Linked DNA regions of Bombyx mori. The protein of the gene in region 2 interacts with the protein of the main gene of each other region in a pairwise test. Links are inferred from orthologs where the notes say so. Each region holds a gene or a part of one and is shown on either strand. Other genes may lie near its edges.

Evidence for each region. The genes of interacting proteins can lie anywhere in the genome.
Region 1: the proteins of intersectin-1 (region 2) and ubiquilin-1 interact in a two-hybrid assay, tested with the Caenorhabditis elegans proteins (3 studies listed by BioGRID). The link is inferred for Bombyx mori from reciprocal best matches to the Caenorhabditis elegans genes itsn-1 and ubql-1.
Region 3: the proteins of intersectin-1 (region 2) and epsin-1 interact in a two-hybrid assay, tested with the Caenorhabditis elegans proteins (3 studies listed by BioGRID). The link is inferred for Bombyx mori from reciprocal best matches to the Caenorhabditis elegans genes itsn-1 and epn-1.

What each region holds. Positions count from the first base shown.
Region 1 is NC_085127.1:9,240,422-9,245,524, forward strand, and holds the start of ubiquilin-1, read left to right. Parts: upstream 1-1,638; 5' UTR 1,639-1,770; coding exon 1,771-1,872; intron 1,873-1,997; coding exon 1,998-2,184; intron 2,185-3,720; coding exon 3,721-3,818; intron 3,819-4,391; coding exon 4,392-4,535; intron 4,536-5,103. UniProt on the Caenorhabditis elegans protein: May play a role in the ER-associated protein degradation pathway (ERAD) possibly via its interaction with ER-localized proteins ubxn-4 and cdc-48.1 and/or cdc48.2, providing a link between the polyubiquitinated ERAD substrates and the proteasome.
Region 2 is NC_085117.1:627,045-631,380, forward strand, and holds part of intersectin-1, read right to left. Parts: coding exon 3,967-4,336; intron 3,440-3,966; coding exon 3,352-3,439; intron 2,717-3,351; coding exon 2,565-2,716; intron 2,088-2,564; coding exon 1,985-2,087; intron 1,262-1,984; coding exon 1,132-1,261; intron 14-1,131; coding exon 1-13.
Region 3 is NC_085123.1:531,376-536,205, reverse strand, and holds the start of epsin-1, read right to left. Parts: upstream 3,466-4,830; 5' UTR 3,305-3,465; exon of another isoform or gene 3,017-3,304; intron 2,907-3,016; exon of another isoform or gene 2,621-2,906; intron 1-2,620. Other genes in the region: nuclear pore complex protein Nup85, read left to right, coding at 4,691-4,765.

The DNA.
Region 1 (5,103 bases), on a different chromosome or scaffold from region 2:
TAACAATTAGACATTTTTTGATAATGTGTATTCGATTCTTCAGTCTGTAATTTATTTACATTAAAGAAGAAATAGAAACTTATTTGTAAATTGGTAACCCCGTACAACATACTTGGACGAACAAAAAATTAAATACTTTCTCTACATTGATCACGATATGAAAATACTTAAAATAATATAGTACCTAGCGTGATAACAAAAATATAAAATTCTATTTTTTGTTAACTACACTAAATCACTAACATAATTTATACATACTATATCCATATTATATGTTCATAAGGCTATCCACCCGAGATCTTATCAAAATATTTTCGTTCGAAAGTTATCGCATTTTTAAAGTCCATCCATTCTTAATCTGTTTTTTGTGAAATTTTTTACTAATTTTTTTATTTATTACATGAGTGGACGAGCTCACAGCTCACCTGGTGTTAAGTGGTTTCTGGAGTCCATAGACATCGACAACGTTAATGCCGCCGCCCACCTTGAGATATAAGTTCTAAGGTCTCAGTATAATTACAACGGCTTCCCCACCCTTCAAACCGAAACGCATTACTGCTTCACGCCAGAAATTGGCAGGGCTGTAGTACCTACCCGTACGGACTCACAAGAGGTACTACCACCAGTAATTACGCTAATTACGCAAAAATAAAATGGTTATCGAGGGACAGTTTTATGTTCACGTCATGACTTATGCTAGTGTGGTGTTCGCTCAAGCGGCCCGCAAACACATAGACACCTCTATGATATACACATAGACAATCCCTACAAACCCGCTCTTGCAGGTTAACAGTCGGAGTGGGTCATAAGGAACCTTGACCTATACGATGACCTGGGTCTCGAATCCATCCGGAAACACATGAAGTCAGTGTCGAAACGGTATTTCGATAAGTCTATGCGTTATGATAATCGCCTTATCGTTGTCGCCGCTGACTACTCTCTGAATCCTGATCACGCAGGAGCCAGTCACCGTCGATGTCCTAAACACGTCTTTACGGATCCATCAGATCCAATAATCCTTGCATGAGACGCCTTTAGCTCTAACAATAGGACCAGGCTTAGGGACCCCGGTAACCGTACTCGTCAAACTCGGCATAAAGTTCGACGTGTACCCTAACCTAAACATCAGTACGCTGAGTTTCTTGCCGGATCTTCTCAGTGGGTTGCGATTCCAATCCGGCAGCAGATTCATTCGCAAAGCAGCTGCTCTTGATTTGTTAGGTCTCCTTCGGAGGTGCTCGGGCAGCTATTTGCATATCCCATCCCTTCTTGATGAGCCTTTGTTCGCCCACCAGTCCTGGTGAAGCTGGAAAGGCCTCCGGGCCATGAGTAATACTAAAATAAATAAATAAGATTATGTTGGCACTAAAAGCGCATTTATTAGAGCAAATATTAAGTGTATTGTCTATAGATAGAGCTATCCTACTTAACTCACATAAATACCGTACGTTCTTTTTTGGTAATCTGCATATAATTTTTAGGATCTATTTAATTCAACGCACACACTTGCATGTGCACTCAAAAATGTTTTTATTCTCATGCTTGGTCTTAAGATTCACAAATCAAAATAGAGGTCAATCAGCAATTTCCAAATAGAACCATGCCAACTATTTTTGTGAAATTTATGGTCTTAGTTGTCTGGCAGCACTACTAGTTAGCCGTCATACTGACCCATAGACAATATACAAGTCAACGCTATTCGTCAATTTGTCTTTCTCGTATAAATTTTACTTTTCCGCCAAAGTACATAGTCATTCTAGAATTGCCAAAATGGCAGAGGGACAAGACGACCCTAAAAAAATTACGATCACAGTTAAAACCCCGAAAGAGAAGCAGCAAGTTGAAATTGAGGAAGATGCCGATATCAAAAGAGTGAGTAGGGGGCCGTGAAATCCTTCATTCATGGCGTAATAACATTGATATGGGACACGCAATCAGTGACGACATATATTTCTTCATTCCGGCACATAAAAACGCAGTATTTTCATTCGTTTTAGCTCAAAGAAGTGTTGTCTTCAAAATTCAGTACAGAACCAGAACAATTATGTCTTATTTTCGCCGGGAAAATCATGAATGATGCCGATACCCTGAAGCAACACAACATCAAAGATGGGTTGACAGTGCATCTAGTGATTAAAGCTCCTCCAAGACCAGAACCGGAGGGTGCGGCTCGTAGACCCCCAGGTAAATTAACTAACTAGGATTGGATTTTCATTAGTTGTGTTGACTAACGAGTTCCAAGTCCATTTCAATAAAATATGTCATACGAATTAACCTGGATAATGAAATACAGTTAGTTTAGCTATTTGCAAGTAAACATTGATGATATTTAATTGTTTTGAGAAACAAATGGAGGAACATACAAGAATCATATTCACTAATTATGGACACTATAAAATGTATGTAAATTTTAGAGATTCCAATGTGAAGATTTCAATGAGCCAGTGAAAATTTTTGTTAGACTCACAACCAAAATGTTATTGAAAACTTATCTTGAAAATCTTGCTGGCTTGATATGTCGTCTAATTTCTTCTGCCATATAAGCTATCGCTACATGTATCATATATTATATCCACTCTTAAAGTGAAAAAAAATAGAAACTTTTTGGAAAAATAGATGGCATACTGTTAACCTGCTCAGGTGGAATCCACCAATTTGCCTATTAATGCAGCATGGCATGCACACATTAGTTTGCAGGATAGGACAGTCATTATCTAAGACAATTTGGTCTTTTGCCTCGTGTGTCTAGTGGTTTCATTCACATTGTGATATCAATGGGCTTTGTTAAGCACTTAAAACTAGGTGCTCCTCCATCTATCTGTGCAATAAAAATAAATAATAGATATTTGACTGGGAACTTGTGTATATTATATTTCTCTCTTCTTCTCTGTCGTTTCCTCATGACTGAGGGTTGTGACCACCTTGGTCCAGTTTTTGCACCAGCTTCCTCCAATGCTGCCTGCATTTGGCCTGCTTAATGGCTTAATATTTATGTCATAGGAAAATTAAATTTCTCGTACAGCATATTAGCTTCAGTGGCAAATTGAAAACTTTATTTTGGGCCACAAAGCTTTTGGAAAATATAAATATATTACATTTTGCTGCACTAAATATTAATTTCTTACTTGTAAAGTAAAGCTTTTATTGTGTTAATCAAGGTAAAACAATAATTAAGCATAAACTTTTTCTTTACAGTAAATCAGAAACTTTGGTATATGTTGTTTTGACCTGTTTTAGTCTAATAAAGATAATTTTTTGTAAAAGATATGTCAGGTGTTAATGGGATACTTGTGTTTATGGCTATATCTAACATTTATGACTTGTGAGCAATTGGCACACCTGCTGTTAAAGGTAACCAGAATCTATAGACATCTTATGGTGAACATGTCCACATTCATCATTGTGACACATTCAGTTAGAAGCCACAGTAGCATTAGTAAAACAGTAATTTCACACACATCTATTCTACTCATAAACTAGACAATCTGTTATAACATCAGATCCTCTCGCTCAGACTGGCCAAATACTAATAGTTAATATGATGATGATAATAATCATTTAAATACTTGGATGTTTGTTTCAAATAAAAATTCTTCTTATTTGGATTTATTTTACTAGAAAGAAATCCAATTGTTTACTTAATAACACTTGTGTTAGATTATTGAAAATTATAAAAATATGAAATTTATTTCCACTACATTTGTAATATCATTTTCCTAGCTGACGTCAGTGCTACACCATTTGGTTTAAACTCGCTGGGTGGGCTGGCGGGTCTTGAAAGCTTGGGCCTTGGTCAGAGTACTTTTATGGATCTCCAGGTATTTATATCACAGGACTGCTTTATATGATATTGAAAAGTTTTCAGCTACATTTATAAACTGTAAAACTGTAATTTTTTATTATTAACAAGCCTTTCGTTTAGTCTATTTATTGGGGTTCTCAACCCATCTAGCACAGTTACCGCAACCCATATGACAGCTTCAGATAGAATTCCAAGTAACAATTTAATTAGGATATTTCCTTTTTTTTCCTACCTATGCTGATACCCTTGAAAGGCTATATCAGTGTTACTCTAGCGTATAGGTGAGTTCTCAGGACTCAAACCGGAGGTGTTGCTAACACTGGCCCTAGCAAGAACAGTGCTTCACAGAATCTACCACCAGATCAAAAACACAACCCACTGAGAAGATAACCAAAATGCATGATTGTTTTGCTTTTTTTGTGTTTTTTTTTTAATTCAGACTGGCTTTATATGCAATAGAACATACGGCCCTATTAATAGCAAGTTTAAGCCGTCCCTCATAAACCAGCAATGATAGAGGAACAGTCAAACTTACGCCTACTGTATAATTAACAAATTTGGACCCTACTAAGGCTTATATTATTCACAGGCTAGAATGCAACAGGAACTTCTGTCCAACCCTGATATGCTCAGACAAGTCTTAGACAATCCATTGGTGCAGCAGATGATGAATGATCCTGAGAATATGCGTAGCCTCATCACCTCCAACCCACAAATGCAAGATCTCATGTCTGTGAGTCATTTTTTTACTAAAATTGTACTATTATAAAGTAATAAATACTACTAATGACTAGTATATAATAATAAAAATTTACTAACTTCATAAATTAACACGTTGCCTGTCCGTGCATTATATATAATGCATTTTTGGTCCAGCTGTGACGTCCGTGCATTATATGTAATCCACGATGTTCTTGTTACTACATTCGTGCATTATAAGTAATGCACGGTATTCTAGCTGACACGTCTGTGCATTAAAACTAATGCATGCATGAAATTCAGTATTTTAGTTGTTTTTGAAAGTGTTTTTTGAAAAGCACTTACATGTACTTCATAAGTACATAAAATGAAATAGTTAAGCCGAAAAAAAAACGGGGTCATGGGTACTTAACCAAAATACTCTGGACAGGCAACGTGCTAACTTTGAAGACATACAATACAATAAATCTTTGGCTGTATAGATCAGTAATTGGCAAAGTGCCTTGAAAGAACCCTTCGTAGAGTACAGAATCAGAGAACAAAATTGGAAGTATACAAAATCTAGCGAGCATATAGATGAAGAGCCAACAAATGGAAAAAAA
Region 2 (4,336 bases):
TCTCCCTCTCTGCCTGTTAGAAGGATGACGCATGCCACGGAATAGAAGGAGGTCGAGTTATCTAGTTTTAACTGCGACCCCACTATGGGAAGCAGAGAGTGATATAAAAACTCATATATACTTAACACGTTGAACACCATGTTCACCGGTGAGCCTTATCTGACCGAACTTATGAGTCCGCGCGAGTAGTTACCACCACCCTGCCTGTTTCTGCCGTGAAGCAGTAATGCGTTTCGGTTTGAAGGACGGGGCAGCCGTTGTGACTATACTGAGACCTTAGAACTTATATCTCAAGGTGGGTGACGCATTTACGTTGTAGAAGTCTATGGGGTCCGATAACAACTTAACATCAGGTGGGCTGTGAACTCGTCCACCCACCTATGCTATAAAAAAAAGGCGCGGACCGTCGGAGGACCTGATCCAGTCTACTGCATATGACTACACTACACATTACATTTAAATAAGACTTGTTTGATAAAGTTCAGAAATGCTTAATTAATTCAAAAGATTAATTGCAACAGTTCATATGTACCTCTGCTTCCTTGAAGGCGTGAAATACAAAAACGAAAATTCAATCAAATTCAATGACAATGACACTGACAATAATGGCTGTTCAAATTTGTTGGCACGCACACACGCACACGCACACGCACACACACAGATACAGATAGAGATGGGCGTGAGGGTTTTAAACCATTGGTCAATGGTCCCCTGTTGACCCCCTCCACTGGCTCTCGTTCAGACCCCGTCCCCTTATCTTCTCCTTCATCTGGGCGTCGGCCAGCTGCGTCCGGCGGCGCTGACACGGTTCAAAACAATCGGTTCAATGGTCCCCTGTTGCTGTTGACCTCCTTCAGTGGCTGTGGTTCAGACCCCGTCCTCTTACCTTCTCCTTCGTCTGTGCGTCGATCAGCTACGACCGATACCGCTGCCACGGTTTAAAACGGTTGGTTCAATGGTTCCCTGTTGACCCCCCCATTGGTTCTAGTTCAAACCCCGTCCCCTTACCTTCTCGTTAATCTGGGCGTCGATCAGCCACGACCGACGCCGCTGCCACAGTTTAAAACGATTGGTTGAGTGGTCCCCCGTTGACCCCCTCCACTGGCTCTGGTTCAGACCCCGCCCTCTTACCTTCTCCTTCATCTGTGCGTCGGCCAGCTGCGTCCGTCGGCGCTCGAGCTCGGCCTGTCCGCGCGCCATGTTCTCCCGCCGCCGCTCCTCGTACGACTTAGCGCTGCTCGTGGACGAAACCGATTCCCTCCTGCGAGACCAACAGCGACTTTTTGAAGTTATACTTCTTTAGAAGCGTTATGAAAAATTGATGATAGTGAAATTTTACGATGCGCGCGCACCGTGACACAAAACAGAATGAAGTTGCCCACTAAATCACTCATTACAATACGACCGACGTAACTTGGCGAGTCTGAATATAGCCGCAGGTGAACTTTCGCGCATGTACACTCGTAAAAAACGCTACCAACAAAACAGAAATGGAACCTCTGTTAGTGGCGCATGTTGGCACGCACGCCGCCTCTGTTCACTGTGTATTTATATTTATAATATTTATCCACATTCTTTGAGTTTCTATTTGAATAAAAATAAAGTATAACTTCTTACGCGCGTACATAAGTACATGCACCCTTTTATCTAGAGATTATCATTACTGGTAATAGGACCTCTTGTCAGTCAACGCGGGTAAGTACCATCGCCCTGCCTATGTTGTAACTATAGAACTATGGAACCTTAGAACTCATATCACAAGGTGGGTAGCAGCATTTGCGTCGTAGATGTCTATAGGCTCCAGTAACCACTTAACACCATGTGCAAAAGCAGACGGACTAGCTCTTAAAACCAGATCGCATGTCAGCTTTGCGGTAGGGCGGTGGTACCTACCCGTGCGGGCTCACAAGACTTCACCAATAACTCATGAACAGTGACCGGGTGGAAACCTGTTTACTTTTAGGTGGAACTCAAGTCGGTTTACCTGAAGGAAGGCGGGATCAGTTCCGGAGGCAGCCTGGCGGGCACCGGCTCGCCCTGCGTCGCCTTCTCGCACAGGTACATCGCCAGGACGAACTCTTCGCAGCCTGGACGCGAGAGACAACCGTCACATCCTTACCGGGTTCCGAGTCCAAGTACAAGTACAAGTCCTCTACACATTACTAAGGTTGCAGATTCTCGAATCATACCTAATTAATTACTTCAAATGTTGTCGTTGGGAGCAGCTGAAGATTTCCCCGTGGTATTTTTTTATTACTTAAAATATCAAATTAATTTTGGTATGAAATTTCAGTTTTAGGGAACTTGGATTTAGAGCATTGTTTTGATATTTAATCCGGGTTCAGTGACTACGTTTTTCACTTGAATTAAGAAAACACACTTGTAGAAAATATCGTCAGGCCGTACGAGTAGGTACCGCCATCTTAATCGTCTTTGTCGCTAAGCAGTTATACGTTTAGGTTTGAAGCACGGAACAGCCTTTATACCTTCGACCTCGTGCCTCAAGACAGGTGGCAACTAAGGGGTGACCATGTCTCAAAAAAAAAACAGATTCAATAGCACACCCAATTTCCCATCGGCGTCCAGATCGGCCAGCGCCCAGATCTGGGCCAGGCTTTGCTGTGGGAGTCTGGACTGCAGCATGATGGACCTCGCCTGCGTCCCGGAAACGGATCCGGTCTTCGCGCGGTCAGTGGCGTTGAACAGCTGCGTGTACCTAGGGAGTACATCATCATTATCCTGTCCTTTTCCTAGTCGCCTGGGATCGGCGCAACATGGTTTCTCCTTCCATACTCCTCTATCATGCACCATTTAGCTCACTCCCCTCTGACACATATCGTCTTTCACGCAATCCATCCATTTTTTTTAGGTCTACCTCTTCCTCTAAAGCCTTCTACATTCATAGTTAAAACTCTCTTGACAATCTCATTGTCATTTCATCTCACCACATGTCCATACCATTCCAAACGCGCACTTCTCAATTTCTTAACATTGTACTGAATTGAACACAGAGAACACACGAGAACACTCGTTGGGACAGATCTAACGAGCCCAAACTCGATTGGGTTACCAGTGGCCGTTCAGGAGTTCCGTTGCGGTCCAGGGTCCGCAGATCAGCTCCTTCGTTTTTTAATATTATTATTCAGAAGCGGTTAGTAGCAGGGCGTCTTTTGATTGTCACGGATAGGCACAGCCGCTTCACCTATTTTTGCCACGAAGCAGTATGCGTTCCGGTTTGAAGGTTGGGGCGGTTGTTGTACTATAGCACTGAGGCACGAAGGTCAAGTCTGAAAGTGGCCTGGTAACCCTCTAGGGTCAGGTATCGCTTTAGCAGCAGTCGACGATACACACTTGAGTTTCTGTGGCTGCGGCACCCCCCACTCCATGGGAGGGGGGCTCATCACTCCCATCGGGACTTCGGGACTCGTCACTACGGATCCTGGAAGGACAGCAGGAATCACGCTAAATTCAAAATAATTTCTTCCTACTGAGATCACATCGACGGGTGAAAGGTTGTTGGGTTTACGCGACATTTTTGCAACTTTACAAAAGAGCCATTGAAAGTTTAAAATTTAGAAAAAAATATCATAACAAAAAACCTTTTCTTCAGCTATTCAAATAGAGTAAACTTAATTGAAGTTCAATTAAAAACATCGAACTGTTGGTGCTGATACCAAATAAAACGGACCTTTAATTATAAAGATAAATGTCGCTTAGACCAAATAAACTTTCACCCTTCCACATGTAACATCATTATTCAGGGTCCAGAGAAAAACCCGTAATACAAATCAACCCACCCGCGGGTCAATGACCGCTGACGACACAACAGTTTTATAACTACCCTCTGATATCACTACCAGTATCGACAGGACAAACAAAATTATGACACCAACTGTTAGTTCGATTAGATGTTAAAGCATGTTTATTTTTTTAGTTTTCAAACTACAATTATGATTATTTGATTACCTGGTTTCGATATGACCTCTTTGTTCAGAGCCGCGATCGGCGTAGACGTCACCGGCTGTCCGGGAACCGAAGCTGCGACCACCGGGTGCGGGGGACTACCCCCAAACGACGCGGCCGTGACCGGCGCGGGTTGTTGCGGACCAGACAGGGGGGGAGACTGGATCAGGGCCTGAGTCGCTCCCATAATAGGTGGAGCGGTCCCTATCAGGGGCTGCATTGTTCCAAGAGGTTGTGCGGAGATCGTAGAAGCACTAATTAACGGCTGGCTGGACATAATCGGCTGTGACGAGACTAATGGTGATGAATTGACTAGAGTTTGGGGTGAGCTCACTAGGGGCGTGGGTCCGGCCAGTGGCTGGGAGCCAATCAG
Region 3 (4,830 bases), on a different chromosome or scaffold from region 2:
TAGTTTATATTAATTTCTTGACTCTTAAAAAAACCCGGTTTATCTTTACGTTTTTCATATACTCAATGGCCTAACGTATATGTAGACATTACCGGGACGGACTGGGCAATCGCTAGGTTCAGTCGGGTTGTTTTCTCAGCAAACTTTTTGGTTTTTTTTTTTATATACTTAATAAAAAAAAAATTACGCCGATATCGCTAGCACGAATTTTAAAATTAAGTAAGCCCTTATCACGATAAAATTCACGAATCCACAAAATCTTTGTTGTTTTCGATGTCAATGTATAGACATAATTAATGCGTAAAGTTTTCTTATGATGGATGACTAAGATTTTCGTTGGCAAAAATTTGTTTTTTTTATTAATGACCCTCCTTATATGCTTATCTATACAGAGTAACGTAAATTACCAAAAACGGTTTAATGACGTGTTTTTTTTTAATTAAATTTACGAAGACTATCTATACATCCTACAGTCGGAAAATGTAAAATCAAATTAACGGGATATTTTACGGTTAGGCTGAAACGTGCTGCGTAATTCTGTATTTCCGTTTCCTCCCTGAATATTAAATCTAGATCAAATATTTTTATGTACCTATTTAAATTTTGAACACGCTCGTATTAGCTTGGTATACATTATGTATGTATGTACGTATGTACTATATATTTGTTTTTATGTAACGGGTAACTTTGAATGTCATTTTCACTGAGTTCAAGGCATCCGATAATCTTGAAAATACACACATCAAGCACCAAGGAGAAACAATAATTTTATAAACTCACTCTAATACCAGTATCGACCTGATAAAAAAAAAAATATATAAGACAATAAACAAATAGTTTTAAAACGGCTTTTTTTATTTCAACTATTGGGAATCTTTTAAAATTTATTGCTTATCCTGTATCTAGAAGAATTTTTTTATCACCAACCAGAATAAAAGCAAACAAACCGGCGTAGCCATTGTCTGACTATATTGAAAAAACAAACGTTAAATTGGTTCAATTTGGGGGCGGATACAGTTGTACCTTCCGTGTCGAAAAATGCTTTTAAAATCTTTAAAGCAGTCATAGCCTCAAATTTCTAGAGCACAAATAAATAATGCATTATTGTGAGAAGTGAGACAGATAATATATCAATGGCATTCATTGATGCCAATAAGTTCAACCTCATGTTTGTGGTAGATTCCAGATGAACCATCAGCTTCACGGTCTATCTACAATACTAAAAAAGAACATTCTGAAACACTGAACAAAAAATGATTCATCTTATCACGGATTGAATCTTTATCATGTTTTTGAGAGGTCTCGTCTGATATCACGCTGCGATTGATTGTCATTAAATTATCTACAACATTTATTGTTGTTCGTGAACATGTTTGTTTTGTTCTATTGTCTAAAGTGTTGAGGAAGTGAAGGACAATTTATTTAATACAAAAAATGTATTATGTTTAGTGGTAGTAGGGCACATTACAAACAATCTAATTTATTGATTTCTGCGGCATATCATAAGCCTGCAAGTATCATCATCTTATGTATTCTGCCACAGAACATTCATGTGTTTTGGTTTGAAAATGTATCATACACCTTCCTGCAACACTACATTAAGTAAAATCGAAAATTTTAGCAATGATTATATTATTACATCGATACGTTTTTTGCATCTATTGCATATTGACTGAAAATATTGGAAATCACATGAATAAGTAAATTGAAAGGAGGCGAAAATGGAGTGAGCAGTGCCCAGTGCCACGACAGACTGATGTCATTGGTTCGGCAGGACCCCCAAACCAAACAGACATCTCACTCTAAGTCACAATAGAGGCAGACCACTACATCAATGGATGAACGGCAACAGGCTACAAGCCAGACATAAATCAATATATATAGTCCAAGCAGATGATAGTTTTGAAGAAGTTTGTATTCAAAAATATATATAAGAGGGCACAAATAGATAGTAGTATGTTGTGTGTAGTTGTGTTCATCTATTGCTTTATATGTAGCTTGTCCATCTATTGCTTTATATGAGATGAATTTAATTATAATTTTTCCATTTTCATCAAAACACAAATAAAGCACTAAAATGGCCTTTACACTATTTAAATGTCAAAATCTCAATCACATAATGTGTTAGGTGTTGAGATAAAGAAGAACCAGTGTCAATTAGCATACAGGGGTGATCTAATAATTCTAATAATAATCTCATCGAAACTCCTAAATAACTGGGATTTTATAAACCCCAACATCAGAACCACAATTGTTTGTGAGTTTGCATTTATGTTGTTGATTGTTTTTATGACTTTTTTCTTGGGGTGTTGGGTCTATATGTCACACATACCTAGGTAAGCTATTCAAAGATGTCTTATCTGAAAAAGGGTGTCACAGCCATTTACAATACATTGAAATAATTTACAATTTTAAATGTGCAGTTAGAAAGTTTAAATTTGGAAATGAGTGTTAAAATAGTCAAGAGTTGGAATTCACAGCTAAAAGAGAATTTTTGTATGAGCTATGATAACAAATAAAATGAAATGTTGCTTTGATATGATAAAACATGTACATGTACAACATTCAAGGTTACTGGACAGAGGTAACATCCAACTTGCACTGCAAGTATTCAACTTACACAATGTTTACACCAAAATATTTCTTCACCACAAACACTTCACAAGTAACACCACTAGTCTGAGCTGTGCACAGGTACGAACGACGAAACAGTAATATTATACTAGATATCATTCAATGATAATTTTTTATCACATCAACTACGATAAATTAGTACACAGAATCTTCTACGATCGCCGAACGTCACGGTACGACACAGAACACAACACGACCGCCGAAGCGGGTTTCTGCGGCCTAATTCACTCGGTTTAGTTTTTCACCGCTCGCTACGTCACAGTCGCGGTTGCAGCTCACGGTTTTTGTATCAATATTATGGCCCCTAGACGAGGTGAAGGCCTCAATGATTCGGATCACTCTAGAAAGTCAGGTCACATGAAATATTAAGAACTAAACTTACCAAAAATAGTTAAATCCGACTTTGACAACAAACGAAAACTTTCAAGTTAAATTGTTTTTATATTGGATATCGCATTATATTAATTAAAACGTCGAGTTATATTATAACAGTTGACTTACTTTATAATTTTGTTGTAAAATAATATACCGTTTACAAAACAGTTTTTGACGAATTGAAACTGTCAAGATTTAATTCATGACAAAATCAACAATATGTCCTCCAACAGGTCATCCGGTCAGCGACATTACTTATTAAATAAAAATGCAAAGTCATCAAATGTTCACGTACCTTTATACCTTGTAAATACTGGAAGGATTTAATTTCAGGGTAAATATAAACTTAAAAACTTTTTTTATTATAGGGGATAAACGTTTCACAATGAATCACGAGCGTCAAACTACGAAAACAAACAAAAACGTCAACTGTCAATGCATACCTTTTTAAAATATGTTTACGGCTATCATACTCGACTTTTTAGTTATCTTGGGTTAAAGTTTGTCTAGCACTGTTGGCCGTATGTTCGTGTATTTAAAGTTTGTAAGAAACTTTTCGGCGGGGAGGCAAGGTAACTGTATGGATTATTTTATTTTGTTAATTTAGTGTTGCTTCTAGTTTAAACGTATAATCATGGTAGATTATCAATCGTTTAGCATCTGTGAAAGTGCAGAAGTTGAAACCCGAAGTACAAAAGTCGAACGCGAACGAAATTACATGTAGATTTCAGTAAATTTCATTATTGGGTATCACTGTTCTGTCTGTTTCTAAAGCATAACAGTTAGAAAGCGTTCCGCTATGAAAGGTGGACTACATAGTCTATACAATACAAATGAGTCTTTGATTTTATGTTTTGTGATCGGTGGCAATATTAACGTAGTGCTCGGTGCGACACGATAATCTATTTAATGTGACCGCTGCTTATTACATATCCGACTCAAAGGACGAGGCAACGTAAAATTACATCGCGAAACATGACCTATCCGATCCTTTCACTCACGGTTACTTTCTTCATCAATCACGTCAATTGCGACGAAGTTTTCGATGATCGAATTAACTCATAGACACAACCCACTGCGTTTCTGGCCGGATATTCTCAATGAGTCGTGATTCTGATCGGGTAATAGATTTTGCAGCGGCACTGTTCTTGCTAGGGCTAGTGTTAGCAAATTTTCTCAGGTTGAATTTCTGAGCTCATCTACTTGTTTGCGCGTAGCTGAAATAGCCCCTTAGACACCAGCGAATAGACAACGAATTATAAAAAATAACAGGTGCGTATTGCTCGTCAACTTATCTAAATCTAATAGGAAGGAATGAAACCAAATTGAATCATCTGAAATTGCAATGAGATGAGATGAGGTGACGTCGAAATAGAATTGTGTGCGTATTTTTGAAAAAGATACCGCTAAGCCATGTCCTGCGATTTTGTTTTATTTTCTCACACCTGCCCATATACACATGCTAAAAGATTACTAACCCACTATTATTACGCATTTGACCAAAAAGAATAATTGGCTGTATGGATTTTGTTTCCTTTGCTTTCACCTTGTTCTATGTGTGAAACAAATAAAAAAATCAGCGCATTTGAAACGGCGGTTTCTGATCAATTCTGTTTCGCATTCAAATGTTTACAAAATTTTATGTGAAATTGCATTGTGTACATGAAAGATTTAATACAAAATGAATATAACGACTTTTTCTAACAATAATGTTCGTGGCGATGATAGTAGTCCTATTATTCGAGCTAAAACATTTGTAAGTAATTAACATGATTCAACGAATATATAGGTTATGTTTGAGTTAAGTTATTTTTTTTGTTT